4 linked regions of the Tamandua tetradactyla genome follow. The protein of the gene in region 2 binds, or shares a complex with, the protein of the main gene of each other region. Links are inferred from orthologs where the notes say so. Each region holds a gene or a part of one and is shown on either strand. Other genes may lie near its edges. The genes, in order: RGS10, GNAI3, RGS8 and RGS2.

Region 1 (7,005 bases), on a different chromosome or scaffold from region 2:
GCTGCGGGCCCCTGGCCCTGCCACCCTGTCCCTGCAGACAGGCCCGCTTCTCCCTGCCTAAGCAGCAGACCCGGGCCAGTGACTTTGCTCAGGGAAGGTTTTCCCAACTGCCAAGGCCGCCCAGCTGCTGGGTTGTTAAAACAAGGCCACTGAGTTGCTATGCGGGCTGTCGTTTTTAACTAAAAACATGGGTGCACGGGTGGTTCAGTGGCAGAATGCTCACCTTCCATACGGGAGACCCAGGTTTGATTCCCGGAACATGCACCCCACCAAAAAAACAACAACAACTACAACAAGACTGGGGATAAACCTGAAAATGTTCCCAAGGGTTTAATGGCCAAGGTGAAATGGGCAGGGTGGAGGGCAGGTGTGGGAATTCCCCTGACAGGTCATTTCCCCCACCCCCTGACTCCTGGTCCCCCACTACCACCCTTCCGGTTGGGGGGTTGGGGGGGATATAGCTTGGACTTTGTTTTTTCAGGTGAGCAGCTTTCCAGGGCAAGTCTTTGGGTGGGGGGAGCAGGGTGAGTAGACAGAATCCTTGGGCATCATCACACCTCAGTGGCACAAGACTCGATTGGGGGGGGGCTTGCTGAAAATGCACCCTCCTCTCCCCCTCGTCCTCAAGACTGAGTCAGTGGGCCTGGGAAGCTGCATTTTATCAAGCCCCTCCACACCCGACATGGTTGGTGGGACACACTTGAGGAACCTTGAAGAAAGAATAGAGGAACCCCACTTTGAACTTTGGAAGGAGGGGTTAAGGACTGAGAACCCTCACCCTAAAGACATTGCCATTTGTAGGGTTTTGCTGAAAAGCATGAAAGGTCTAAAGCAGGAAGTGCTGGAGGAACCAGGATCACAACCAGGCCTAAATCAGAGGTCCTGCTTAAACGCGGGGCCTGGAACTTATATAATTTGGGGAGCCCTATTTAGGAAGAATAATTCAAGATTACAAAAAAAAAAAAAAAAACTACAGAGCCTGGAAGGGGCACATGTGAGTGAGGGGCCACACAGCTGGCTTCCCAGTAACCCCACCTCTGGGCTCACTCTGCCCTCTTCTTACTTGGTCCCTTCCTGTCCTGTTGCTCAGTGATGACCAAACTGGTCAGTGGCTCACCTGTCCCTTCCCATCAGGTGGACAGACTTTAAACCAAAAAATCTCAAGGAAGTTGGGCTCCCAGAGTCCAGGCATCCAACAGTGATCTAGAAGCTTTGCTACTGCCCCATCTACCAGAGACCAAACCACATTTCATCAGCCTTCTAATGTGTTACCTGAGAGAGGTACGTTCCACTGATGTCCCTAAAATTGCCCCTGGTCTTCCTGGGGAGCAATCTGGCCGCAGGCAACAGCATCCCCAAACCACGTTTCTCCCATAATTCAGTTCTAGTTGTAACTGATTCTCACAAGCCAGTGTGAGCCAGCTCCAGCACACTCAGGAAACAGAGGCACAGAGAGCTCAGGTAATTTGCTCAGGGTGGCTGGACTGAGAATGAAGGATGCAGTGTTGGCTCCGTCCAATCCCGTGAATGCCCAACAATAGGCGAGGGATAGAATTCACACTCAAAAGAGAATCCTTTAACTCAAATGCAACATGAAAATGCTTACGGGACAATTACACTAATTCAGCACTTACTGTGTGTTGGGCAACAATTTAAGCTCCTTACAATAACCCTATGAAGACTGCACTTATATTTAATGGGATGATTTGCATAAATTGGTGGGTGGTGTATAATTGGTGGCTGCTCCAATTAAGTGCTTAAAGAAGGGTAACTATGATTGTGCCCATTTTGCAGATCTTTATCTGCAGGGAGGCACGGAGAGGTCAGGGCTGTAAGGGGTTGGAGGTGGGATTCCACCCAGGCAATCCTTTAGCAGTCCATACTCTTAACCACAATGCCCCTCATAAAACACGGTAAGTGAAGTAAGGGCCCAGAATAACATGTACCGACTCTCAGTACCAGGCAGAAGCAAATCCTGGAATAAAGCCTCTGAACTCCGGAGCCAAGCAAACCAGGGTTTGAACGTGATCTGCCGCAAGGTACCTAACAGCTCCGGGCTCCAGTTTCGTCCTCAATCAGTGGCACTAACAATACTTATCTTCCAGGGCCTTCTAGGGGTGAAGGGACAAGTCATAGAACGTGGTGGATACAGCCCCCAGCCCACATTAAGCGTCCAAAGGCTGGCAGCTATTGTTATGAACGAAAAAGGTAAGAGGCTTTTGGAATCAAGCGTATGGTGTAATCTTCACCGTGGGTTCTCTGCCCTATCAAGTTGCTCGAAATGGGAACTCAGGCAGGTTCAGAACGTGACAGCCAGGCCGAATCCTTCGAAACACCAGCGCTTCTCCCGCTCGATCTACAGATGGCTCCTTCTCCATCTGTCGTTCGCCCACCTTCACAGCTCCCCATTTCGGCTCCGCAGGGCAGAACTGAAGGCCCGCGGCGCTGCAGGCCAGGCTGCGCGTTGGATGCCCGCGGTCCAGCCGCGCCTCCTCCGGGCGCCCATCGAGCATCGTTCCCACCAGCGCCGGCAGCGGGGACAGAGAAGTCCAGAAAGGAACCCAGATCCCACACCACCTCCAAAGTTTCGGGGAAGTTTCGCATCTCCTTTATCTCCCAGACGCTCACTAAAAAGAAAACGGCTGCTGTTCCTCTTTCAGTCAAACTTCCTCCCCGGAGCGCATCTCCCGGGCTCTGCGCTGTCGTCGCGGATGCGACCGCGAGGCCGCGGGTCGCAGCGGTGAGAAGTGGCGCGTCTGTCGGGGCTGCCGTCGGGCGGCAGAGGCGAGCCGCGCCCGAGCCCCGGAGGGAGGGAAGGATGTCTGTGGTGGGCGGCGCCCGACCCCTCACCCGCGGGGTCCCCGGAGCCGCTCGCTTACCTGACGGCGGCCTCTTCCTGCTCAGCCGGCTCACGGCGCGGTTAAACATCGCCGCCGGCGCCCGGGAAGGGAAGGAGGAGCAGCCCGGAGGCGCGGTGGCAGAGCCCCGGGAAGGCGAGGAGGAGGAGGACGACGACGACCGGGAGGAGGAGCTGCGCTCAGCACCGCCCCGGCGCGCCGCCCCCGCCCCGCCACCCTCCTTCTCGCCAGGCGCCGCGTGGCGCGCTTGGTGCACGCTGCCGGCCCCCGCTCCGGCGGGGCCCCTGGGTACCAGGGCGGGGCAGGTCGGCTCGCGGTGTCCCCCGGCCTCCTGGAGCTGACCCCGCACCCAGAGGAAGCCCGCGCCGCCCCGGACTTCAAGAACCGGGCCGAGGCTGCTCGCGCGTCCCCAGGCCCCTCGCTCCAGTTGCCGCCCCGGCTCCGGCCCGCCCTGCGCCCCACTCGGCGTCCACCCCGGCCTGCCACCTACTCCCTGCAACCGGGAGGAAACGCGCTCCCTGCGCGCCTTCGCGGCTGCGGCCCACCGAGCCCCGCGGGCTGGCCGGCAGAGATCCCTCCCGGCTCACAGACGGGAAGCGGAGTACGAGAGGCCTCGCTCGCCCTGCAGACGGGTGCTCGGTCCCCGGGATCAGGGAACCCGGTGCGCCCCGACCTGCAGCGCCCCGGATCCCTTCCCCACCGCCCCTTCACCCCCACCGCGGGCTCGGTGCACGCCGACCCCACCCCCACCCCCACCCCCACGGCCGCTAATGCAGGTGGAGCGTCTCCAGGGGCACCCTCCCCGTAAAGGGCCGCGCGGGCTCCTTGGCCTTGAGGATCCAGCGGCCGGCCTCGAGGGAATTGTGCACTAACCCGGCGGGTCCCATTGCGGAGCGACGGCCCTCCCGCGTGCACCGGCCCGACTGGGGCACTTCGCTAACTTTGGGGACGAGTGGACGCAGCTTCCGGAGGGGCCTTTGCGCTCAAAGAACCAGATCACTCTGGTCCCGCTGCGCCCTCGTCCTGATTTCTCCTCTCCCGGGGCGGGTCACCTGCTCGGCGCCGCGCGCTGCACTCTCATTATGATCTTAATTCATCTGCACAATAGCCCAAGAGAGCGGGCCATCAGCCCCATTTTCTTGTGCATTTGGTTTGCGAAAGATTGTGTTTTTGGCGAGTCTTATTTTTCTCCTTCTGTAGCTGGCTTTGTCTCTAAATTGGTCTTTATTTTTAGCTGTACTAATTGCTATTTTTCTAAACCGCTCCCCAGTCGCCGCCACCCCCCACCCCACCCCTTCCTTTCACAGTTTTCTCACTAGTTGGCACTTTCTTTTATATCTTCTATTCTAAGCTTTCCCTTCCGCTAATTTCCCTCCCTCCCTCTAACCACCACCCCCATCCCAATTCCCCCCATCCCACCCCCCACCCCCATCTCTGTCCTTTTCTGGTTCACTCCCATTTCTCTCTCTGTCCTTCCCACCCTCCGGACTTTTTGTTCTCTGGATAAGTCTGAGCACTCTCGCTGTCGGCCGCCGGGCGAGGTTTCTGGGCTCCTGAAGGTGACGGGGCTTTCCAGCTGGGCCTGGAGGACCCCCGGGTGGTGATGAACTGGGTTTGAGCCTAGCGGGTCCAGTCTGCTGCGGGCAAACCTCGGGAGCTCTCGGAGCGATGGGGCCGGGCTCACCAGGGGCGTCCATCCGTTGTAAGCGGACGCAGCCTCTTAAAACTATACGCAGAAGTTTCACCTATTGTAAGGAGGATTGTTTAAACACTGGCAGAGGCCTGGTTCCCAAAGAGGTCACCGCCTTCTCATAATAACAAGGGAATTCGTGCAGCATGCTTCTCCAGAAAAGTTGTCCGAAAACCAAATTATAAGTAATCCTAACTCAGGAAATAAGGAGCAGACCACAATGAGGTAAAACTTAGGCACAGCCAGCTAAATTTTTATTTTCAATGCCAGGTCCACCACACCCTGTCCTGAAAAGCCCCGGTGTGGCGTGGCACATGCTATGAATATGAACTCTGGGCCTCTCTAAAATAAAGAGAATATATAACCATGTCAAATCACTTTTACTGCTCTGCTAGCTTAACAGACAGTAAGTACGAACATAAAGACCAGTGACTGAGGCATAGGATACATAGTTTAAATTTTTTGTTTTGGAACATGGACCTTTTTCACAGAATCCCTATGAATACCTGTTTTAAGTGTCTTAGGTATGTGAAAGCCAGTTTACAATGTGATTGTGCAGAAGGCCATGTATAAAAATATGAAGCCTCGCAGGTTCTAATGCTTGCCAAAGAAAACACATGCAGTGCACACACAATCAATGCATGAGTAAGTTCTGCTGATGGTTTGCACTTGGACTGAAGATGCTCACTATCCCAATAGCATCACTCCTCTCAGTTCAGCATCCACTTCCTGTAGCACCTCCTGAGCCCTCACAGATCATCTTGGCCACATCTTGGGCAAGAAGAAGACAAGCAGATTGTCCTGTCTTCCCCCGGTGGTGGAGCCTTCCCATCAGTGACAGATCAAAGAGCAAGGGCCCTGGATGTCCTCTGGTGTTGCAGAATTTCAGAGTGTTCATGACTTGAGAGTTCCGAAATTTTTATTGCACTCAGGAACTTTAAAACTTGGTAAGCTATGGATATATTTAGAGTATTTTATAGTGAGGACAGATAGATATAATTAACAGAATATAGATGTAAATAACCTTATTCTAGGCCAGATGAGGCAGGTAAGATCTAGTAAAATAAGTAAATAAATAAGTCCTCAACTTGAAGTTAAGAGTACTGTGCATTTGACCTGACCATGTGGCAAACCAGCTGTGTGTCCTTAAACACAGAGCCTCATGGGATTGAACCAGGAAAAGATACCACCTACCTTCTAAGGGTGTGGTGTTCAACAGCAGTAAACAAGAAAGCATCGGGCACAGTGCCCAGCACATGTAGGCACTCAAAAAATTACTGGAATCTGAATTACTCTTGCTCCCTTTACAATGCTGTATTAATAAATAATAAGCTTTAGCCTACACCCAGCGAAAACTGGCTTTTTTTTTTTTTAATTATAGAAAGTTGCCAGGGTTAGTAACAATTTGGAGCAAAGGACACTCCCCATGATGAAAGAAGGAAAGTAAATTGTTACAACCTCTCTGGAAGGCAAGAGAGGCAGATCCATTAAGATGCATATTTGGCAATATGCATAAGAACCTTCAAAATGTTTAAACCTGTTAGTCCTGTGGCTAATTCTACAACTGGTAATTCATGCTAAAGAAAGAATAAGAGATGCAAAGGTTTATGTGCAAAGTTGTGCAATATAACATTCCTTTTATGTGTGCTATTTATAATAAGTGTGAATGTCCACGAATGGAATGGTTATGTTACATTCCTATGTATATTCCTATAATGGAATATTTAACAGTTGCAAAAAAAAAAATGTGTGAAGAATATTTAGTGATGTGGAACAATGCTTAGGATGAAAGTTTCCTGGAAAAGATCATGAGAGAAATTCAGAAAAAAATTTCAAGGAAAGGGGGGAATACATAACGTGTCATGTGTAGAAAGATTGGAGGAAACCACACCAAAATGCTACTAGCATTCATTGGTAGATAATGAGATAATAGTTTATTTTAATTTTTATTAATATATGTCCCTGTTTTGCAAAATTTCTGCAGTGTTTATACTTTTAAATCAGGAAAACAATTAGTAGTGAGCAGCCGGTCAACATCTCTACTAGGTTTAATTCTACAGAGTATCTAAGCCTCCATTTTTGCAACACTAGTTTTGCTTTCTTAAAACTCTTAAGTTCCTAAGGAAGGACCAAATTGGGCACCAATTGCTTCTCCCATCTTCGATCCCCCTGCATTTCACAAGTCACACATTCATGTCATGTGCAGTGGGTTGAGAATAGTGTCCCCCCAAATTCTTTAACACCCAGAACCTTAGAATCTGATCTTATCTGGAAATAGGGTCTTTACAGATGTGTTTAGTTAAGATGTGGCCATACAGAATAAGGGTGGTCCTACAGTCAATGAATAGTGTCCTTATAAAAAGGCATGTCCTTATAGGAAGACACACAGAGGACAGCCCCGTGAAGACGAAAGCAGAGATTGAAGAGATGCAGCTTTAAGGCCAGGAGGACGGAGGG
Region 2 (7,348 bases):
GACTGAACACTAATTTGACATATCAAGAGCTTCCCAAAAACATCTAAAGACATCAAAGATATATAACAAAGGAAAAATTGCCAATACTGAAGTCTTCCTTAACTAATTCTGTCCACAGTGGTTTCTTTATTTGAATTTCTCTAATATCTAGAATCTCTAACATTCATTTTGGCTTAATACTAACAAACAATACTAATAAATACTAATAAATAATTGTCATTGAGCTAGTACTATTTGACAAGCTGTATTCTACTTTACATTCTTATAATTAATCCTTATAGCAAATCTAAGAACCTTGATTTTCTCTGTTTTAACCATGAGGAAACTGAGAGAAAAAAACTGAATAAATCACTTTCCCAAGGTTAAAACTGGTAAATGGGAATTAAGACTTGAAGTAGTCTGACTTCAGAACCCACGTTATTAAGCACTATGCTAAGCTACATCTATGTAAAGAAGAAAATAAATTAATATTTACTAAATACCTATTATGGGCCAGGAGAGACAAGGGTAATGTAGACAGATCTCAAATTAACTAAGTTCTATAGTTTCACAGTGATGAAGTAAAAATGACTTGCACGCACATCAAAGGAGGTATTCTACGACAAAGAATTATTTGTGTACCATGACGGGTACCTTCTACTTACAGAAATAGCAAGGAAGATCATTTTAATTTCATATGTTTCTTATGATACAGTTGAAGCAAGAGCATTCGTCTCTCTGCAAGCTATCTGAACTTGCTCAAGAATACAAAAACACTTAAAAAATAATAAATCTGATAAAAATTCAAAACAAATGTTTTAGTAGTTTGATTTTTATTCACTGCTCTACAAGTTCCCTAAGTCATCATGTGTTTGATTTTGTTTTTAATTAGATACACTATTTATAAAGTCCTGAATAAAGATTTTTCTAGACATTTGAACAAGTTCTGCACGCCCAAGTTCTGCCTGCCAATTCCTGCCATCTGGAAGAATGCCTCACAGTTTATAACTACATTACAATAGGCCAATATCCTGCGAGGATTTCTGAAGATCAATGTAAATTAAAACACTCACAGAAGATAAGAATACACCTTTAATTTCATAACCAACTGATCAATAGAGAAAATGCCAATGCCTTGAGTGTTGTGGTTTATATTAAATATTTAAAAGGCCTCCAGGATCAATATCAACATTAACTGGCTCTTGCTGGTTAACAGCAAATATTTAAAAAACATCAACTACGTGCCAGGGATTGTGCTCATCCACAAATGATATCTATTATATAGTGGCAGTCTAGAACAATTAGAATTTATGCTTTCTGAAAGTTTGGGTATTCAAACTGGACGCTCAAGCTCCAGTGCCTAACTTTCCCCCTATGTCCAAATAAGTTGTTAACACAGCCTGTTCAACCTACAAACAACCAAATACGTTAACAAGAAGAGACAAGCAGGAATACCAGGCACATCCTGGAATACAAAAAAAGACAAGAGCTATGGTGGAGCATTCCCTCCTCCAGGGCAGAAAATTTGGCATTTTCCCTAAAGCAACTATTTTTGCTCCAAAGTCAAATGTTTTAAAAAGTAAAGTTGTTCTACTGCTTACAGAAATCATTACTCCTAATTATTCTTCTTTAACGGATCCCTAGAAAATACTAATAGTGAAGAAATGTGGCTTGATTTCTTGGGAAGCTAACGTCAAGGTACCTTATATGATTTATTGAGCCTCTAGAAGCCAGTTTCTCAAAAATTTTTAGACTAAGTCATGCTGAGTAAAGTGCATACAACTGTACATAAAAACCACTTAAAACCAATGCCCGGTAACATAAACAGTAAAAGCCAATATTTTGGTTTGAAGAGACCAGAAAAGATAAAAATAGTTCACAGAGCTCTGTCACAACCTTTACAGAAAACGTACAATTCCATATTTTATACTAAAATAGCTCCTTCATTCCCAGCGCACTATTCCGAGCAACTATTCGGCAACTCTCAACGTGTAATCTTTTACCCTCTACCTCTTTTGTCAAAACACAAGCATTCTTTAAATTCTTCAGCTGGTACCAACATCCACCCTTCTTTATAAAAAAAGGGGGGGTATGAAACCTTAAAAGAATACAAATGATAGAAAAAAGGGGTAAAGTATAAAGATAGCGTCAACACCCAAGGTCTTTTTCTTTAAACTAGAAAACTTGTCATTTCAACCACCTACCTTCATGTTCCTGGATAACTGAAGGCTCCTCCACCTTACAAATAGTTCAGAATGTTCCCTCTCTAACACGATAGGATCCCTGTGTGACCACCGTGTCCCAGCCTCTCTATTTATAATAATCATTCAAGTCTCCCAGCTTTATCCTGTCATTAAAACTCACAAGCCATTAAACAAGCCCAACACATCATACTCTACCGCGTCCTCACTCAATACACCAACCCCATACAAAACCTTCCCTAATATCAGCTCTTCCTTTAGGCATGTCCCATGTTTCTATCAAAGTCCAAATATCCTATCGCCCCACGCTCCCAAATTCTCTTTGCTAAACGCAATTCCAGCAAGGAGTCACACCCTCTACAGCCTAATTCCTACAACCCCAAAGCCCCACCCCTTCATCACGCCCTCCCGGCCTCAGCCACCAACCCCAACACCCCGCCCCAAGTCCGTCGCGCTCTCTAGATCCCATCGGGGTACTTTCCGCTGACCTGACGTGAGCCCCCGCCTCAGGCCTCCCCAAATGTCTAGGCCCTCCCGACCACCTCACCGGCCCCGCCCTGGGACCCTCACCAAGTAGCAGCAGCTTCACTTCTTTGGCTGCTTTTTCCCCGTCCTCTCGCAAGTTGCGGTCGATCATCTTGCTCCGCTCCACCGCCGCCTTGTCTTCGGCGCTCAACGTGCAGCCCATGGCGGCGGCGGGAGAGGGGACAGGGCCCGGACACACTCACACACCGCGGGAACTGCGGTTCGAGCGACAGAGACAGCGTCTGCTGCTGGGCGGCGGCCCTCTCTGTAGGCTCCCGGAGAGCCCGGAGAAAACGGATATCCGGTGTTTGCGACACTTCCGGAGACGCCCCGCGGCCGTCCCCTTTCAAATCTCTAGCTTGGGAACAGAAGAGGTGAACGAAAACGGAAGTGCTGGGAATAGAGGCGACGCGGGGCGGTGGTTCGTGAAGCTGCGAGGTCCTGTGGAGCCAATTGTACGCCACCCGAGCTTAGTCCCTTTTTCCCTTTTCGGCTGCTTGTTTTCCATAACTATAGACAAACCCGGGCTTGGCTTCTCCAGCTCTTAGAGGCCTCCCGACGTCACACAGCAGAGTTTGGACCTGGGTGGGTGTGGCGATTGGGGTGTAATTCCCAGGTTAAGAACGACTAGCCCTCACCCAGAGCTTTGCTGGTGCAATCTATCGATCCTGACCGGAAGGCTTCTTTGCTCTCTGGCGGTAGAGATCTGGGCCTGCCCAAGTTTAGATCCTATCCTCCTCCAGGGTCGTTTCAGCCAGGTTCTATAGGATGGGAACAAACTGCCTAGCTTGGGCCCCGGCCACGCCTCACATCTGATATCAGTAACACCAATCGTGCGGGGGGGTTAGCGATCCCTTTCTGCCCTCTGCTCGACTCACTGCCTCCTCCTTTCAAAGTGTATCGTGGTCCTTGTGCCATTACTTACACTGTGGGCTTGGGAATTACCCAGCTCTTATGTTGACTGAGGGCCATTTGCAATCACCAACTGATACCCTGTAACCTGAAAATTAAGCGTGTAGTTCCTGCTTAAAATTTGCTTGCTGCCCTTCTTCCCAATATAAGCCAATTATAGCGTTTACAGATGTCTTGGGTTAGGGGCTTAGGACTTGTGCCAAAATTAGTCACCCTCAGCCCCTCCTCCAAAACCACCCATTGCGGCCTGTAAAACTCCTAAAATTTCCTGTTGTACCACACAAAAAGGGAAGTTTTAGTAAAGCTTGACTTTCAGCTCAAGTGTCACCTGAAGATAAGTAAATCCCTGTGAAAGCCCAGACTGATACCCTTTCACAGGTAACCCTGAGTACTAGTGTGAAAATGCCCTAAATTTCTTTCACTGACAAATACCCCCCTCAGTGTCTTCACCATAATTTCTCAGGAGGAAGACTCTTTTGTAGATCCCAAAATCTTTGCCTGTGATTAAAAATTATTTCATTACCCTAATAGAATTTAAACCTTAGGATCTAAGGTTCCCAGCAGAAACGTTTATATGGTGATTGATTAATTAGAGTGATTCCTTGAGAGCCACCTTAGACTGCATCACCCACCATAACTCTTATCAATGCCAATTCTTCAAAGTTTGAAAAGTCTCCCATTCATTCCAGACTGACTCTTAGGATGAAAGGGACAGTTTTTTCATAATCAATATTTCTGGGGAAAAAGGGCAAGAGGAAAGGGAAGAAAAACCAATATTTATTGAGTGCCTATATGCCAGGTAAGGCTAGTGCTTCCATGTTTCATCTCTTAATCCTCACAACAACCCTGTGAGGTAGGTAATATTATCCCCATTTTTACAGATGAGGAAATAGGCTCAGAGAAAATTAAGCAGCTTTCCCATGTTCACACAGTGAGTACTAGATCTGACTCCAAATTTGCCCCTTTTCTACCATGCCCCTATATGACGTTAATTGAGAAGATCTGACAAGAGAGGATCTATAATTTTCACGTAAGACTGGGAGTCACCCTGACACTACCAGGAAGCCAAAAAGAATTGACAAGATAGGTTCCCCAATCTGTTGATTCTTCAATGATTGGAAAGTTCAAGTTTTGTCCAGGAATAGCTTCCGAGCTAAGGATTACATATTAAATTTTTATCGGGTTATTCTGGTGACTAGAAAACTGGGAAGTGACCATGTTTGAAATTGTTGGGCAGGTTCTCAGCATAACAGAAGAGTCTCTTTCATTATGCCCTTGGACAGAGAAGAATAAATGGCAAGTGAACCCATATATGTCAAACTATAATAAACGCTAGTGAGATCACAGTGTCAGGAAATTTCAGTCTGAACTAGAGAAATCCTTGCAATTAAAACTTTCTTCTTTGATGTATGTGAAGGAAAGGTTAGAGGGCAAAACCAAAAGAAAAGGCAAAATAAATTAATAAAATGGCTGCCAGACGTTTAATGGTTTAATGCCAACACCACCCACCACCACCCCTAGGATACGCCCCTTTCCTATTTCCACTGGACTCATACTGCCACCTGCTGGCAATACTTAGGGTCTACTAGCTGATCAGGGGTTTTAGGAAGAATAGTTTCCCCCCACCATCTAGGAATGAAATTCCTCAGTGTGAATTTACCTCAAAATGGAGGAGAGAGGGGAGTAAAGTACATGTTTTTAATCACAAAGGACTCCCCTCCCTGGATATACTATCTTTCTAAGGGATTTCCTCAATATAGTAGGCACTAAACTGGAGGAGTAAATGGTAGGAAGACAGAAACCTGGAAATTTTCCTAGGTGAAGAGGGGAAAAGGAAGGTTTGCTCAGTTTCCTTTCTTTACTTTCTTCACTAGAGAATTTTCATTTACAACCCCCATCCTTTCCACAATCTGCAGTAAGCCTCAGTGTAGATATTTTGCTGCAATGGACTCAACTCTGAAAAGTTAGAACCCTGGATATATTCTCCACTCTATTTCTTGAATATTTTCTACAGTGCTTTACCAGCTGTAAATCCCTGTAAAGTACAATATATCTGATCAAATTAGACTATGAACTCCTTGAAGGCAGTGACCACACATCCTCTCTGTAAGTCCCAGGGGATATGGGTATCCAAATATTATGCACTGAGTGGAACTGATAGAGTCAATGTTGATATCAGTATAGTCTTTTATAATAAAAATTATTTATTGGCTATTCAAAGGGGAAACTATCCCACTCCCACCATCCCATTTTCCCCATTAACATTGAGTCAGGCGTTATTCAAATGCAGACACACCACCATGCTGTCCGTGACTCTTTAGTGTCACCTGACTGTATTGACGGAAATGGGGTAGACAGGTAGTCCCACATCCTGTCCAGTTTGCAGTTATTCCCCTTCACTTGAAAATTTGGTTGATCCATGCGTTGGCCACCACTACCAACCAACACAGTTCCTACTGAATCAAACCGTGGAAAGCTGAGCCCAACTCCTGTGCCCTGTCTCCAACCCAGAGCTGCATACTGGAGAGAGATTTAAGTTTTTGTTATGAAGCTAATTTTGAGCACGATGAATGAAAGGGAGAAATTTAATGGACCATGGAAACCCCACCTTTCCCATGCCCAACCTTAGTCTCTTGTACCCTATTGTCCAGAGGGCTGGAGGTGGAGTCACTGCCATGAGGAGAAAGATCAGGGAGGTCATTCCTGGAAGGAAAAGGTGATCAGTATTATTGATCAAGGTGATTATCTGGTCCCTTTGTACCCAGTCACCTTAGCAATTCAAATGTTAGTCCCCCTACCCCCAGCTTTCTGACTCTGAAATGAGGGGGGAAAAAGCCATCCCTGTCTTATTTTTGCCTTTGCTGAGATTAAGCCTCAATCTTGGTCTCCAGGCATGGAAGAGAAACAGGGAAATAGAGCAAAAGGACTGTTCTTGAAGAGCGGAAGAGAGAAGCTGCAGTCAGCTTTCCTGTTTCCTACTCCATATACCCTGATTGCTACCTTCTCCTTACTTCTGGTAAAACTCAGAAAACTGGTAGAGAGAAATATATCCAACTGGTTCTCTCACTTTAAAGAAATATCAGGTATAAAACTAGAAAATCATCTATTAACTCAAATGGAAACACTTGGCTGTAATTTAATACTTGTTAAGCCTACCAAGGAGATGAGAAGACAGATCATTTTCTTACTTTGCTTGGGTGCAGTTACTGCCCTGGATAATTACACTGAAAAATAAAATATTCTGAATGGCCCCAGAATAAGGCCAAACCTGGCCTATATCCTTCAAATCCTACCCTTACAGAGCTTCCCTGCTGCCTGAGGCATGGAAAGTTCCCCAGTTGAGAGGCTTCACCTCACCTTTGTGACCTTTTCTCTCATCAGTGTCTCACCACTCCCGGGTTCCCTCCCCCAGTCATCAAGGCTCTCAGCCAAGTCCAAGGACTTTTGTCATATGTCCAACCTGTTGACTCTGTTCTTGACCCAGGAAATTCTCATCAAAAGATGGGTTCAGAGACCCTGTCCCGGCCCCTCCCAGCTGGGAAAAGGTGATCCCACAAGGTGGTCCTCGCAATCATAACCAACCCCCAACCCCATCTCCCTCCAAACATCCAGTAACCCATCATGATTCCTGCCGGGGTGAGGGGGCAGGATGGAGGTAGCTGTCCGACATGATGATGTCGCTAGTGAGTTGCTGTTCCAGGAACTCAGAGGTCTCCTCAGCTATCTGGCCT
Region 3 (7,265 bases), on a different chromosome or scaffold from region 2:
ATTGAAAGAGTGCTGAGAAAGCTTTGGAAAGGAGGCTTTTGTTTTGTTTTGTTTTGTTTTGTTTCAGTTTGGAGGTGTTGTGCTTAGAGAAGGAGCTGGGAGTTTACAAGCAGATCCAGGGTGAGGACATTCTGGGCAGAGGGAACAGCCTGAGGAATGAGGCCTGTGTGTGTGTGCGTGTGCGCGTGCATGCGTGTGTGTGTGTGTGCATGGGTGCATGCATGCAAGGGGATATAAGACTGGACAGGTAAATGGGACCAATTTATGGATGGCTTGGAGTATCTGGCAGGACAAGGGGCTGCAGTGGGGCTCACTAAGGTTCTCACACAGATGAATCACTTAACGGTATCTGTCACTTGAAGGTGTCAGCCTTGTAACTTTGTTGTGAGAATTAAATACAAATGCAACTGCTTTGTTTAGCATAGTTCCAGTCACATAGTAAGTGTTCATTAAACATTAGCTTTGTGCCTGCGTCCTAAGGAGGATTATTCCCCTGACAGTGGGTGACTATGGCTGTAGTGTACTGTCTGAGAAGGTTTGTGGGGGCTGGGGGGAGACCGAAGGTGGGAAGATCATTTATTTAGGAGGAAGTGGGGAGGGCATGCACTGTGCCGAGCACTGAATAACCTCTGACGCTGCAGTGTCGATGGATGTTCAAGAGTGAAGTTGAGAAATATTTTGGAAATGTAATGGCAAGAGCTGGAAACCGATTCAGCAAGGGGAATGGAGAAAAAGAAGCCAAAACTAAACTGCAGTGTTTAGCCAGAGGCATTAGGACACAAGGATGTCATGAACACAGATGAGCTGGGAGGCTGGAGGATTTGAGGGGAAAGGCGGTGGTTTCAGATTCATTAGAACCGCAGGTTTGGAGGCGTAGGGAGCTGTCCAGCAGACCTTTGCAAAAGCAGAATGGGGCTTAAGAGAGGCAGGATCAAAGCACTGATTCTGGAATGCAGCAGTGTATAGAACGGGAGCCTGTAGAGCAGCAAGTGCAAAGGTGAAGGGCAACCTGAGAAGCAAGAGTGGGGCTTGAAATCATTGTTTTCTGCGGGAAAAATGTGAGTCGTGGCCAATTGATATGGCATGTTCCCAGACTTCAACCAACAACTGAGGGCCAGTACCCTGATAAGAATCCAGAACTCTACATCCCTGGGCCCAGGGAATTCAGAGTCTGAGTAGGTGAGTTCATTTCTGATAAACATGCCAACCTACCTCCCTTTTCCTGATTGAAGGAGTCCCAGCTCTCCTCGCCTCTCTTACTGGTCCCTCCAGAAGGAAGCCAGTGCTACCATGCTCAATTTAGGTTTAGCTTGATAACCAACCCCCTTCCCCCTTGTTCCCAGAGTTCTTTCTGCACCTGCCTCTACGGGCAGGTTCAGTTAGAGACCTCCGACGAGAAGGGGCTGGACTGGGTTTGTGCCTTCCAAATTGGGGCACCTTGTGGTTACTCCTTGGCAGTTAAAAGTGTTTTGGTTAAAAGGTTTGAACTAGTTTTAATTTTCTCTTTTTTTGCCCATGCTGTATGTGTGTCAATACACTCTTGTCCTTCCCCTCTTTTTTCCCACTCACTTCCTTTAAACTTCACTAATTACCATATCTTTCCTTAAACATTTTGGGTGGGTTTATTACCTTTCTGGGACGACATTATTTCTCTAAAGGCTAATTCAGATTCCGATGACTGGAAATATTTGTCAGCTTCCCCTAGAGCCCGTCTGCTGCTCTCCCCTATCCCCTCAGTGGCTTTGATTCCTGGATATCAGACTTGAGGAAAACTTTATTCAATCACTTTAGCACTGATAGAGAAAAGTCCCACAAAGACACTATCTTTGTGTTAAAGTGGTTCAGTGGCTGGAGGCACCAGGTTTGGTATCAGACATCAGATCTGCCGCTAATTTATGACTTGTTTCTGGTTTTTCTCATCTGTAAAACGGGGATGATAAAGGTATCAGCCCTTGCAAGTTTGTGATGAGAATTAAATAAGACAACATGAGCACAATGCTTAGGACAGTGCTAGCACATAGTAGGTGCTCATTAAACATTATGTGTGTGGGTGCAGGAGTGGAGTCTCCTTATGGTCTAAAAATAGCTTGGGTTAGGTAAGTACTTGTCAAAGGGCTTTTATTCACCAGTTGACCTGTGTACTCATTTCTTATGGTACAGTGTGTCAGGAAAATGTCCAGAAGTGAAAGATCCTTTTTCTGCTTAAGTTCTAAACCCCAGCTAGCATTACAGTTCAACGGGTTTCCATGAGGAATGGAAAACTCTCATTTTATAACACCAAGCCTCCTTTGCCTAATAGAGGGGCACCGTGGACATTGTCAGAGAGAGACAGCGAGTCACTGTGGAGGCAGCATCAGAATTTTTATTTCATCCTATTAGCAGGCAATGAGTAGTCGTGGCAGAATCATTTCACTGCACAAATACAGATTATGCACCACTAGATCTGACAGGAAAAGCTGCGTCCTAGCATGGCGTAGTAGAAAAAGCTCTGCTGTAGGAATCATAAGACACAAGTTCTGGTCCTTGTGCTGTCTCTAACTTGTTGTGTTACTTGGAAAAAAGTACTTGACCTTTTCTAGCCTCAAGTTTCTCTTCTGTAGCACAGGGATAATAATACCGTCTTCCACTGTGGTATGGGATTGCCACAGGAATGTCTTTTACATTGTAAAAGGTTCAACAGATGTAAGCTATTATCTTTATTATAAAGCCATCACTTTCTGTAAAAATTTCTGCTGCCTCTAGAAAATACTGCCTTCTGGGTTTCAAAATGACTTGCAACAAGGCGAGGCATATTTGGAGCTAGTATCTGAGTGGGAGCAGGAGATTCAGCCTTAGAGGCCAAGAGAGTAATGACGAGAAGGTAAGCTTTATTCTAGGGCAGTGGTTCTCAAACTTTCACATGCCTCAGAATCGTGTGATGGTTCTGGAGGGCTGGACCCCATACCCAGAGTTTCTGAATCTGTAGGTCTGGAGTGGGGCGTGGAAATTTGCATTTCTAGCATCTTCCCAGGTGATGTTGATGTTTTTGGTCCAGGGACTACATTTGCAAAATCAGTGAACTAGGGCAAACGAAACAAAGATTCTTCTTTCTGGGACTGAAATAGTCAGTCTGAAGGTCTATGTGAATAAGGAAGATGGGAGGGAAAAAACAAAAGCCAGAAAAATAGGAGTACCATGCAGATTGGGCAGAACAAAGGAAAAAGTCTCACTCTGTAACAAATGCAAGTAGGGGGAGTTGCTAGGTGATGGATGAGAGAGAGGTGAATTTCCACTGTAGGAAAAGCCAGGTTAGAGGCAAGAGCTCAGAATTGGAAATATGCATGTTTGGGGAGGCTGAGGTGGAAATGTCTCATTAAGAAATGGGGAGGGGTGTAGTTGGCGCTGGGGTGGGGTGGGGGGAAGAAGTGGGAATGGGCAGGGAGAGAAATGCCTTTGTAGAGTATGGGGGACAGCTGAGATGTGGCAGAGGGGGTAATTTCAGGGCTGTGCAGTTTGGCTTGGTAGAGCGGCGTGATAGAAATTGGGAGAAAGGGGGTGGAATTTAGATGTGTGACCTGCCCCGTAGCTTTCTTGCTCTCTGCATTTATCACATCACATCACACCCAGCAAGACAGCCCCCACCCCCCCCCCCACCCCCTTCCTGGCTCATTAGGAGATTTGATTCGGCTTGGCTCCTGCCGTCAGCAGCTGTCTGGGGCAAGATCTTTATGCTCCCTGCTCCCCGAGCACCAACCAGCCTTCAGCTAGCAGCAGCAGAGCTCATTAGGAGAGCACCCTGGACACTTGATTTTCAGCCCATTGGTGGCCAGAAGGAGTTAACACCTCCAGCCTCGCTGCCCTCTGCACAGCCTCTGGGTGTAGAGGAAGGCGGCTTTGGGTAGTGGTGACTTCTGCCTGAGCTGCAGCCAAAGGAGCAGGGAAGCGGGTTGGTGAGGCTGAGGAGGAAGGTGCGGGAGCAGTGCCAGGCGAGCTCTGCTGGGGGCACCTCCTGCATCCCGCCAATGAGGACGGGCGGGTAGACTGTGCCTGGAAGCCGAGCCGCCCGCTGGGTGTAGGCTGCTTCAGGATTTACTGGATGTGAGGAGCGGAGAGAAGAGCTTTCAGCGGAGCTGCTGGCTGCCTGGCTCAAGCGGTGGGAGGTGGGTTGTGCATGTGCGTGTGCCTCTGCATGTGCCTCGGCGTGCATGCACACAGGCCCTTCACCGCCAAGGATTTGACTGCTAAAAGAAAAATCTGCTCTTTCCCCAGAGCTCCTTAACTCGCAGCCTCTCTGATCATCCAGTTGGCAGGGACCCGCAGGCCATGAGGACTGGTCAAAGACAGTGAGTATTGCTTTTGCTTTTCCTCTTTCCTCTCCAGGGTGTCTGTGTGGGCTGATTGCATTATCCATATTTAATTAACCTGCCTCTCCATGCATACTGATTGCTTTCTCCCCTCTGAGGCTCTCAGTTTCTCTTCCCCTCTTTATACATCTTTGCGCTTAGCTTTTAACCTTTGTTTTTTCTTTAAGTATCCTCTTTTCTATTATGTCCTATCCTTTCCACCCCAGAGTCACCTATAACTTGATACCCACCCACAAGAGCATATGGGCTGTGTGTGCAATCATGTCCTTGGCCTTCTGGATTTTGGGTAATCTCAAACTGTGTGCCCCATGAGTCTAGGGCCACATGGGAGAACCGCCCGAGACACTGGGATGGACAAGGAAGCTGGGGTCACAGTGTACTGCTGATTCTTATTTAAAGGAGTCCAAAGCTGAGCTCATCAAAGAGATGGTGGGGGGTCTGAGGGGCAGCGATGGACAGGGCTAGATCCGGAAGAGAGAGAAGCAGGCAACCAGTGCAGGCTGATGGTGGGGATGGGAGGAGAGTGAGGACGCGGGGATCCCCGGCTCCAAATGACCTTGTCTGCTCTGCTCAGTCTGTGAGTAGCAGTCCCTGGGTCTGCTTAGCTCCCAGGAACTGAAGGACCCGGGTGTGGTAGTCCCTCTTCCTTAGGGGGGGCTATATCCCACAAGCCAGAGAGAGTGATGCTTGGGTGCCCCAAACATGATTTCTGAGGATCCCCGTAGAAGTAAAGGGTTTTGATTCCCTAACTACTGGGCAAGCAGGGCGTGGGCCTGGTTAGGACAAAGATTTTAGGAGGCACCCCTGCTGTTAGGCAACACCATCCGTGCTCAGTCTCCTGAGGAGGAACCTTTGCAAAAAAGTCTGATTTGGGGGAGGGTTTGACAAAGCCACCTCTTCATTTTATTAATTATAGCATTATCAAAGAAGTAATTTTTAAAAGTATTTGTGAAATGTTCAGGGTAATATCAAAATAACTTAAATGGCATAGCTCCAACAGGAGGAGCCTTCTCTATCTAAATTAGGTTTCCTTTAAAGCGATTCTGTGTTTGGTGTGCAGTTCCCCAGGGATCCCCTTTATGGATAGGCTGATCTCTTCACGGGTTTCTCCCCATCGCTTACCTTCTGTGGGAACAAAGGGTTTGAAGCACAGAGAATGGGACCCTCAGGAGAGAGAGATTGTAAGTCAATCAGCCTTCAACCTCGTGTCCCCTTTCCTGATGTCCCTCCCTGCTCTGGGTCAAGAACGGGCCTGTCCCCGGGCTCAGGAAGGTCCGGTGGCCTCCAATGAGCAAGAAAGAGAGGCTTGCATATTCATCTCTTCAGCCTGCACATGTGCTCCTTGCACAGGAACAAGCCTGTGGGGTGACAGGGCCCGGCAAGCCTCCGTTGGAGTTTCCCCATCCTTCCTCCCTCTCCCGCCTCCCCAAAGCTTCACACACTCTCACCTTCTGGAACAGTCGGAGGGAGGCAAAATCAGAACTGCACCCAATCAGATCATTTCAGAGCAAGCGCTCGCCGCCCAGCCCCCTTTCTCCCTTTGCTGGCTGGTCATTTGGGCCCCCTCTCTAGTAAGAGAGAGGCGTGGTAATTTTTGGTGTGCCAGACTCATCCTTTCCCTGGGGCACATGTCCCATTTTACCGTTGATGTCTGGGGTTGGAGAAATGACAGCTCCTGTGAAGCTACTTAACAATTTGTTCTTATCAGTCCTTGGTTGGTCTCTCACCGACCAGAACCCCCTGCTGAGGTGCAGTAGACCTTTTTAGGGAATGGGATGTGTATGTGTGCGCTGGTGGTGGTGGTGGGGGTTCCTATGGTGGAAAGCCATTTGAGAGGGTCTATCTAGTGCAGTCAGATAAGAGAGGGTCCCCCCCCCCTTACAGCAGATTCTTTGATTTTAGGTGAGAGGACGTGAAAGGGCAAGCCCTCTGCCCTGCAGTCTTATCTCCTGTCCTGACGCCCCTGCAAGCCAGCTAAAGGGTTAACCATAAGTGGATGCCTGTATGGCTGCCTTACTGATGCCACGGAGGTAACTGATCAATAAGCTGTTTCCTTGCCCTGCCCTTTCCTCTTTTCTCCAACTTCCCACCTCCCCTGCTGCTTGAGCCTGGCCCAAGCGTTCGAATTCCATGGGTGATCCACCTGCGTCCCTTCCCCTAGGCTTCCTCTTGTGCTGTCTTCTTACTTGGTGTGTTTCTTGCAAAGTTGTGGCCTTGCAAGAAGGAACTGCCTTCGTTCCAAGCCTCCCACTGACTGGTGCGATGCCTTGGCAATGACTTATGGGTTGGGATGAAGGACTGTGCATGAGCTCGTCTTGAACCATTTAGGCACCTCTATGAGTTTACTGGGACAGGAGCTGCGGGGAGAAGAAAAATGAGGACAAGCCAGCCTCGTTTTCTAAAAAAAAAAAAATGTAATTTTGACCTTTGGCTCTTGCATTTGCTTTGGTTATTTCAGACCTAACATATTTATAACTGAGAGCTCAGCTAGATAAGATGGAAAATGAAAAATCATTTTGTCCCAAAGAATATCTCGTTGAAAATTTCGACAAACTATGCGGGAGAATCACAATTGTTCTGGTGACAAGGAACTCCCTTTACACTGGCCCCTCTAAACCTTGTTAAATAGCAGGCAGGAATTTGCCACTTTTTGAAAGTCCTTTTAATTGCTTCTTGGGGGCAGTGACCTGACTGTTTTATGATTGATGATTCTGAGACACAGAAAAATGAACCAACTTGCTGAGAGTTGAGTTCTGGCCTATGGTGCAGCCTGAGCAGGACCCTTGCTTGAGTTCACGGGCTGTGTCATCGCATCCTGTGATTTGTAAGAGAGAGCAGATGCATTAGATGTTCCCCGCCTCCAGAGCGAGACTGGCCACAGCTGATGCTTTGAAATAGATGGCTTCACAGTGCGGCTTGGCT
Region 4 (7,927 bases), on a different chromosome or scaffold from region 2:
TCCCAGACCTATTGATTTTAAGTGCTTCTGGATCAACTATATCATATGGTATCTTTCACTTCACATCCCTGCATTTCCAGTGGGAGATGCACCAGATTCAGAGCACATATTCCCTCTGTGTTCTATGCACAGTGAGGGAAGTCATTTCAATGCAAGCTTCTCCTACACTGTTACGAGCTTCCTCATTTACTACCCAACTGTGAATCAATAGTTCTGAGTGATGTTTCCTAAACACCCAGGCTGAATCCAAGGTCAGTCGTTGGGGTTTTGAGCAGATCACAGCCTTTCCCCTTAGGAAAAATAATGCAAAGTTCTCCATTTTTTGGCCCCCTTTTTCATCTCATGTTGCATGGGGCTCTGTAGTGATCTGTGGCTTTTTACACAAGTCTTGGTAGAATTCTGATTCCAAGAAACGGGGATAAGAGTTGTTCTCCATCAAGCTGTATACCCTTTTCTGGGCAGTTGTAAAGCAGCCACTTGTAGCCTCTTGTATATTTTGAGCAATCAATGTTTTGGTTTGAAAGTCTATGTTTATCTGAAATAAAACAGAAAATTGGTTTAGTTAATACTCAGAGTTAGAGATATGGAAATCTATTTAGTATTTGTAAAAAACAAAACAAACTAAAACCCCAAACTATAATGTCTGATTAGCTTCCCCCAGGCAGTCTTTGGAGAAACTTCAGTGAAAACTAGGATGGGGAGGAGGGGATGGATTCCTCCTACCATCACTCCCCATCCTTTTGACATCCCTTTGGTTATGATTTCACTTTGGTGCTAAAGATTTAAAAAATATTTTTCACTGTATTAGTGAAGGAGGAATTTTTTTAAATTTTTTTTTACCTCTTTTGGAGCTTCCTTTTCTATGAAGTCAGTATATATTTTCCTTGCTTTTGAGGACAGCTTTTGGGGTGACTTGGTTTTTTTGAAGTCTTCACAGGCCAGCCAGAACTCAATATTTTCTTCACAGAATTCAGATTTTAAAAAAGCCCTGAATGCAGCAAGACCATCTGAAGGGAAAAAAAAGCATGCACAATGTGAAAAAAAAGAGTGACCAAATAATCTCTTATTTTTTTATTTGTAGTACTTCCCCTCCCCCCATATTTTAATTACTTCTAGATGATAGTAATTTTCTAGATTTCACTCAAACTTGTAATCCTCAGATTTAGCTCTTTAATTTAAAGGCTAAGATGCCAGCAAGCAAACTGTTTATGGTGGCACACTGCTATAAAAATACAAAAACTTAACTTTGCTATCAATGCAAAATAAATACTTACAGGAGAGCCATAATTCTCTGGGAACTAAGCTGTTAGAAAATATTGTCTGCAATGGAAAAGCTGACTCACCCTTAAACTAAGAGTAACTGCCACTTTAATTTTTTTTAGGCTAATTTTCCCTCCATCTTGACTGAATATATGGTTAAACATGGTTTAACCCTGGAAACATCGGAAAATAGGAAATGAGAATAAAATTGGCCTTATGCTACAGTGATTGTACAGTCTAACTCCCATCAGACAAACTGCTGTTCTGTTGAGTGGACACTACCTTCCTAGACTCCTGTGACACTTGAAATGGATCAAATATAAGAAGTTAACTTACATTTACTGGCTAGCAGCTCATCGAATGCTTCTGACCACAGCTGTGCTTCCTCTGGAGAAGGCCTGCAAGACAAGCGCTGCACATTAGCTTGTGTATATCAGAGTTCCTCTTTTCAGTCCAGCATCTACAGATTCGTATTTGTAAGTATAGGATTTTTTTTACTTACTTAATAAGAGTTTGCTGTTTGCTCTTCTTCCCAATTTTGGGCTTCCCAGGAGTAGAGGAATTTTGCAAGAAGTAGCTCAAACGGGTCTTCCAATCTTTTAAACTTAAAAAAACAAAAACAAAACCCAGGTTACTCACTAAGAGGCAACCCTTGAAAATGCTACTGCAGCTGAATGTATTTCTACCAAAGTCATCCAGTAGCTACAGACAAGCCAAATAAAACCAAGTAATTTCTCTCCAAGTGAGACAAATTTTACCCATTTAATGTTAAATCCAGTTTCATCCATCAATCTGAACATAACAGTCTTATAAGTAAAGGAAGGACTACCTTAAATCACTTAAAGTCCCCAGGTATTTTAATGAATTATTTCTTGTACTTCAAAGGGCAGGTGCTACTTCTGGCCGGCAAAAGGCAGGCCGTTTCTTTGCAAAGCTAGGTACAACTCTAGGACATTTCACCCTTGATGAAAACAACAGAGGAACTGCCTTTAACAGACCCACTTATTTTCCTTCCACTTTTAAAGCAGGAGATTCCCAAAGTAAGCCAAAGGCTGCGTACAAAGAGGTGTGCGTGATTTCTCTCTCTCGTCTCTGCTCAACTACAGCACCGATTTTAAGCAGATGCTACAGAACAATCGTTTGTTACACAGTCGTGAGTGGGTTAGGTCTACTCTTCAATTAAAAGGCAATAATAGCTTTAAAAGGAGTATATTCAGAACCAGCATCAGCTGCATAAGCTGATCAGTACTCAATGTTGGGGACGCGCTTCGGCCGCAGCTGACATTTAATCTCTGATGTCATTTTAAATGCAGGGGCCAAAAACAAGAAAGACAAAATAAGCCGCGATTTCCTGGCGTCTACCAACTACCTGGTCATCCGTCGCTCATGCAACAAAATAACTATATACCCCCAAATACAGATTTAGCCTTAATTTGGCCAATGAACCTTTCCACAATTTTTGTTTCTGCAGAGACGCAGGCGATATCGTTTCCTACAGTCAAAGCCGAAACCATTCTACTGCATTTGCACAAACCGGGAGAACGAGCCCCGCAGGGTGGGAGCTGGTGGGGGAAAGGAGAACGCGGTACTTACAGGGTCCGCTTCATCTTCTCCCGCTTCTCTTCGCTCTTGGGGCCGCTGCCAGCGTTTTTGTCCATAGGTCTGCAGTCGTGCTGGACGGCCAAGAACATAGCACTTTGCATTATCGTCCTCTCGAGCCAACAGCCTGCGCTCGGCCGCGCGCCGCAGTATTTATGAGAGGCAGAGGCGAAGGGACGGAACCTCCCGGCGCCCGCCCCGCCCCCAGGGGGCGCGGATTGGCCGCCTGACGGGCACAGGGCGGGGCCAGCGCGAGCTCGCGGCTGTCACGGCCGCCAGCGAAGGGTCTCGTAACGGGGGCGCTGCTGACGTCGGCGGCCCCCGGCTTCGTGCGCAGTGGAGCCAAAATGGGCGGCTGGGCGGGGGCCGCGGTGGGGCGAGAGTTCGCCCTGTGACAGGTCGCCGGCGACCTTTGCTCGGGGTGGCGACCTGGTGGGATCCGAGGCTGTGCGGGTGGGCTGCCCCGTCCCTTACCCCCCGCCCCCGACGTGTTCCTCATCCCCAGAACGGGAGTGATGATTCCCCAGCAGGGAAAGGTGGCTTGCTGCGAGCCAGAGTGCCATTGCCTCGTATTGAATTAACAGGTTTCTCTTCCTCGTTTGAGTGCGCGCCCTGTGCCTGCGCCGCATTTGTTGTTTACACAACTTCCCTAGCAACTCAGCTGAGACCATCTGTGGAGTAAACCCGGGCGCCGGGGAGATTCTCGCTCGTGCCTCTCCTTGATTTGCTGGAAGAAACTGAACAGGAGAAACCTGAAACCTTGACGGCCCGTGGGCTTATATGGTGTGACTTGTTTTACAGCTTGCCTAGGCATTTGGAATATTTGGGGGAATGGACATTAGACAGGGAGGGAACAGGAGAAAGTGACTATCAGATGACAGTGCTGAAATTGCTTTTGCATTCTGAGCTCTACCACTAGACACAGCTGGGTACGTTCGTGGGATTGCGGGGTTATTCCTCAGGGAATCCCAGGCCTCCTCTCTTTCCAAAACAGGAATCACTGATCTCTTTTTGGTGACTTGAGAGAGAGGGAACCATCGAGATCTGGAGGCTGGAATGTTCCGGAATCATTCTAGTTTAAGTTCGCCAGTAGGCAGAATTTCCACGAGTCATTTTTGGTTGGCTTAGAATTTACCAGAACACTTAATTAGAAAAAGGAAGGAAAATTTAATAGTTTGCTTAAGTAAGTTTCATGTGTTCTTCAAAAACTCATCTCTGTCTACTCCTGCAGTCTTTAAAGTAGCTTAATTAGCAAGGAGAAATAGATCACCTCAGCCACAGAATGATTTGATTTTGGAAAACAGCATTGCCAGAACTGTAATGTAACTGGAAAATTCAAGTGGTTTTCCCACCAAGCATCTAATTCCACAGTAAGATTAACAGCAAGCTATTGGCTGGCCTGCAAATATTCTCCCAACTTTGCATTAGAACTGTTAAAAGAAAATTGGAACTAATGACCTTGCTTTTTTCAGTATTTAGAGCTCAATGTTTGATGAGGAAGCAAAATCTGCAATCATTACTAAAGAGAACAGTTAGGTACTCTATTATGGAAAGGAAAATCAGTTAGATTTTGGTAGTAGATGCTATAAAATGTTTATGAAATGTGAGAATGTCATTTTTCTCTAGTGTATTCCCTTCAGCTCTAAAAGAATTCACATTTCTTCTTTTTTCACTTGCCTTTTCTTGATAATATGAACCTCAATATTTGTTTCACTTGGAACCTAGAATAGTAGAATTCACTCATAGACAGTTGAAAAGTAGGGTTTCTAACAAGGATGCAGCAGGGAGAGAGAGCTGACTTGGTGCTAGAAAACCTAACTGGACTCTCAGCTTAACCAATAAATACCAAGTAACTGTTGGGGCAGTTACTCCACCATCTGCTTGAGCAGCAACAACTCATCTGTAAGGAAAATAATGTGTCTTTCTTGCTAATCTCATAGGATATCATGCAAATCTTATGTGAAAGTCCTCTATAAATTCTAAAGTGCTATAGCAAAACTTGTTATTAATTTGTATATATGTGGAAAAGGAAATGTTCAGAGATATAGCTATTCATGGTGGAAAAATAAAGAATTAACTCAGCTAATTTGGTTATAAATACTTAAGTACTGTTAAGATAGAAAGATAATGTCATAGAGATTTGTACAGAATCAAATTTATAACAGTTAGTTTTAAATTAAATTTTTTGAGAAGCTGTAGGCTTACAGAAAATTCATGCAGAAAATACAGAATTCCCATATATCCTTCTCCACATTATCACCTTGCATTAGGGTGGTGCCTTTATTGTAATTGATGAAAGAATATTACTATGATTGTACTATTAACCACAATAGCTATTTAATAAGTGCTCTCGATATGGCAGGAAAATAAGCAAGCATTAACATTTCAACTTATCAGAGATTTCCAAGTCACAGAGGTTCAATCATCTCAACATAGTCACAAAAGTGAATATACATGTATGCATGTAAACAACTGGTGTTTAAATACAGACTATCCTGAGTGTTCTGTAAGTGTTTAATATATTTGCTTTTTTCACAAACCCTTTTCAAATTAACAACTGATGTTAAATGGCAGAATTTATTTTTCCCTGAAAATTATGTGGTTGATTGATAAATCTGAATGTAAATGTTAAGAGTTAAGGCAATACCTGCTACGGACTGAGTAAACTTTTTGTGAAAAAGGTACTCCTTAAAGTGGCTTTTTAAAAGATTAGCAGACCTTTAGTACTATAATTAAAGGAAAGGCTACAACATTTGATGACGTCCCTTTTCTTGTTGTCGTCTTTTTTTGTTTGTTTTTGTTGTTATAATGACTTTTAGGTAAATGGGATTGCTCAAGATGAGCATGACACATTTTCCATTCTGCGGTGGAAACAGCGGAATAGGTTTGCACAGCTAAACCGCAGCTTGAGAGTGACATAACCATCCATTTTTCAGGTTGAATCTACCATGCCCTCTACTGGAAAGGTTTTCTGATTGAACACATTAGCGGTATAGGTTCTCAGTGTGGTTCCTGAGCTTGTTTGGTATTTGTTTTAAATTTCAAAAAAGATATGCAAAAAATACAAATTTTTAACAATACCAAGGGGAAAATATGACAAGCGTCCCCTCTGTCATATTCCGTTATTTTCCCATCTCCCACTCTATGCTAGCCATCATTAATCAAGTTTTATTAATCATAACTAGCAAAAATATTTATGCATAATAACTCCCATGTTTTAGACATTTAGGAGCTAAGATACATGGTTTAAAAAAGCGCAAAGGGATCATACTTTCTATTAATCTGTGCTTTGATTTTAGCTAGGTTATCTTAGTTCCTGAATTTGTAAAGGCTATAAACCTGTCGCTTACCTTATGAAATCTTTCATGTGTGGTAAGTTAAAAAAAAGGAAGAAAAAACTAGAAAATTAAACCCTGTGTAGTAAAGGGTATGATAAGTAATTGGAAAAAATGAAAACTTTTAGTACTCGGTGGACTATATTTGAGGAAGTGTGATACCTTTTTTTTTTCGTCAAATTTAACTTTTGTTAGTGAGGTATTCTTTTCATCCAGTGAACAGAAGACCAGACAAGATTCTGTACTCAATTCCTTCCCCCAATAGGAGGTGAGATTTAAAAATCATGTCTTTATTACAATGCAGTTTCCTATTCAGAAGCTGAAAAGAGAGAAAATTAGTGTCTTTGTCAGGAATGAGAGGTTAAAGAGAATACTTGACACGCATTATAGAAGAGTTAATAATTTTTATCAATTCTTATATTGATAATTCCGTTTAGAACCCTTTCTTGGTTCTACCATGAATTTATCCATGGTATGAGGTAAGTTGTACATCTTCAAATGCAGGCAGGGCCAACTTAAATTTAATAGACCTTTCCTTACTGAGCACCTGGATTCCCTTTGGAAACCAATGACAGGAACATCATGAAGTTTTGTTTTACATTGTTTTCTGAATAAAAACACTAGCATATATTGAAATACCACTAAGCTTTTTTGTTATTAGATCTGTAAGTTAAAGAACCGTAAATATGAGGTCTAAATTTGGGATTTATTTCCATTGTATGCTCATTGCTTCTTTCTCTTTTGTGACGTTGGGCTACACAGAATCCCAGGGGAGAGTAAGTGGTTATAAATGCTTTTTTATAAATGTTGCTCTATTTATAACCAGTAACTGCTCTAAGTTAAATAGGTGGCCTATTTTCTACAAAATAAAGAGGCAAGGCTAGGTATTTTTTTTTCCTGGAAGTTCTTTTGCCTGGGATTTTAATTTCTGTGCATTGAATTTGTAGAAAGTCATTACATGTGTACGTGTGTGTGTGTGTGTGTGTGTGTGTGTGTGTGTATTAGGGGGCAGTTCTATCCCAGCCTGCAGCCTTTCCCTGGGACCCACAAATACATCCTGTGCTCAGGACCAAGTATGTCAGCCTGGCAGGATAAAACACAAATCCCTAGTAGGTAAGGGGACTGCTAGTACATTTCTTCCCCTGTTGTTTTGAGCATATGTAAATGTTTCAGGTGGGCATGTTTTACTACATCCAGCTAACATCCAGGTGGTATATCCGTCTCTGGAGGGGAGGGGGTGGAGTTCCTCCACTGTGGCAGCACACAAACACAAGAAAAAGGATATTGTTTTCAGAACGGCACCCTGCTTAGCCCATGGATTGAGACCTGCTGGCTATGGGGAACCAGCTGACCTTACTTTGTGGAGCTTGTGAAGCTGACCTTGCTTTGTCTCTTCTGTATGTGAGTAAAATGTCTTTCCATAAATGCCTGTATGAGTTTTGCTTTTGCTGGAGATCCAACCCCTGTATTGGATTGGGTTGACATCTTTTTAGATGCTCTCCTGACTATACACACACGCATACACACACACACACACACACACACACATATGTATATAGTTATATGTATATATTATATATATATTATTGAATATACTGTTCTATTGACTGCTGTTTTGAAAATTTGGCATACCAAGTTCATAATATACTTAATACAAAAATTCAAACGCTTGTTTAAATATCATTCACTGAGAATTCCCTATCCCTCCTTTTTTTTTTTTGCATGGGCAGGCA

Evidence for each region.
Region 1: the proteins of GNAI3 (region 2) and RGS10 are in contact, whole or in part, in a crystal structure (PDB 2IHB), measured with the Homo sapiens proteins. The link is inferred for Tamandua tetradactyla from reciprocal best matches to the Homo sapiens genes GNAI3 and RGS10. Residues at the interface, in NP_006487.1 of Homo sapiens: Val71, Val72, Ser75, Glu115, Val179, Lys180, Thr181, Thr182, Gly183, Ile184, Val185, Gln204, Ser206, Glu207, Lys209, Lys210, His213, Ala235, Glu236; in NP_001005339.1 of Homo sapiens: Glu62, Phe63, Ser64, Glu66, Asn67, Ala102, Ser103, Ser104, Gln105, Val106, Asn107, Val108, Glu109, Gly110, Leu137, Lys139, Tyr140, Asp141, Ser142, Arg145.
Region 3: the proteins of GNAI3 (region 2) and RGS8 are in contact, whole or in part, in a crystal structure (PDB 2ODE), measured with the Homo sapiens proteins. The link is inferred for Tamandua tetradactyla from reciprocal best matches to the Homo sapiens genes GNAI3 and RGS8. Residues at the interface, in NP_006487.1 of Homo sapiens: Glu65, Gln68, Ser75, Val179, Lys180, Thr181, Thr182, Gly183, Ile184, Val185, Gln204, Ser206, Glu207, Lys209, Lys210, His213, Ala235, Glu236, Asp237, Glu238; in NP_001095920.1 of Homo sapiens: Thr76, Glu77, Phe78, Ser79, Glu81, Asn82, Ala117, Pro118, Glu120, Val121, Asn122, Ile123, Asp124, Phe125, Gln126, Arg128, Leu153, Lys156, Asp157, Ser158, Arg161, Arg164.
Region 4: the proteins of GNAI3 (region 2) and RGS2 are in contact, whole or in part, in a crystal structure (PDB 2V4Z), measured with the Homo sapiens proteins. The link is inferred for Tamandua tetradactyla from reciprocal best matches to the Homo sapiens genes GNAI3 and RGS2. Residues at the interface, in NP_006487.1 of Homo sapiens: Val179, Lys180, Thr181, Thr182, Gly183, Ile184, Val185, Gln204, Ser206, Glu207, Lys209, Lys210, His213, Ala235, Glu236, Asp237, Glu238; in NP_002914.1 of Homo sapiens: Glu104, Phe105, Glu108, Asn109, Glu143, Ala144, Pro145, Glu147, Ile148, Asn149, Asp151, Phe152, Leu180, Asn183, Ser185, Arg188.

The regions. Positions count from the first base shown.
Region 1 is NC_135339.1:81,985,958-81,992,962, forward strand, and holds the start of RGS10 (regulator of G-protein signaling 10), read right to left. Parts: upstream 3,011-7,005; 5' UTR 2,929-3,010; coding exon 2,880-2,928; intron 1-2,879. UniProt on the Homo sapiens protein: Regulates G protein-coupled receptor signaling cascades, including signaling downstream of the muscarinic acetylcholine receptor CHRM2.
Region 2 is NC_135337.1:13,327,851-13,335,198, forward strand, and holds the start of GNAI3 (guanine nucleotide-binding protein G(i) subunit alpha-3), read right to left. Parts: upstream 3,017-7,348; 5' UTR 2,869-3,016; coding exon 2,751-2,868; intron 1-2,750. Other genes in the region: GPR61 (G-protein coupled receptor 61), read right to left, coding at 7,237-7,348. UniProt on the Homo sapiens protein: Heterotrimeric guanine nucleotide-binding proteins (G proteins) function as transducers downstream of G protein-coupled receptors (GPCRs) in numerous signaling cascades.
Region 3 is NC_135330.1:37,511,786-37,519,050, reverse strand, and holds the start of RGS8 (regulator of G-protein signaling 8), read left to right. Parts: upstream 1-4,252; 5' UTR 4,253-4,322; intron 4,323-6,245; 5' UTR 6,246-6,347; coding exon 6,348-6,373; intron 6,374-7,265. UniProt on the Homo sapiens protein: Regulates G protein-coupled receptor signaling cascades, including signaling via muscarinic acetylcholine receptor CHRM2 and dopamine receptor DRD2.
Region 4 is NC_135330.1:48,612,446-48,620,372, reverse strand, and holds the start of RGS2 (regulator of G-protein signaling 2), read right to left. Parts: upstream 3,009-7,927; 5' UTR 2,964-3,008; coding exon 2,854-2,963; intron 1,865-2,853; coding exon 1,763-1,864; intron 1,659-1,762; coding exon 1,597-1,658; intron 1,008-1,596; coding exon 841-1,007; intron 536-840; coding exon 341-535; 3' UTR 1-340. UniProt on the Homo sapiens protein: Regulates G protein-coupled receptor signaling cascades. Inhibits signal transduction by increasing the GTPase activity of G protein alpha subunits, thereby driving them into their inactive GDP-bound form.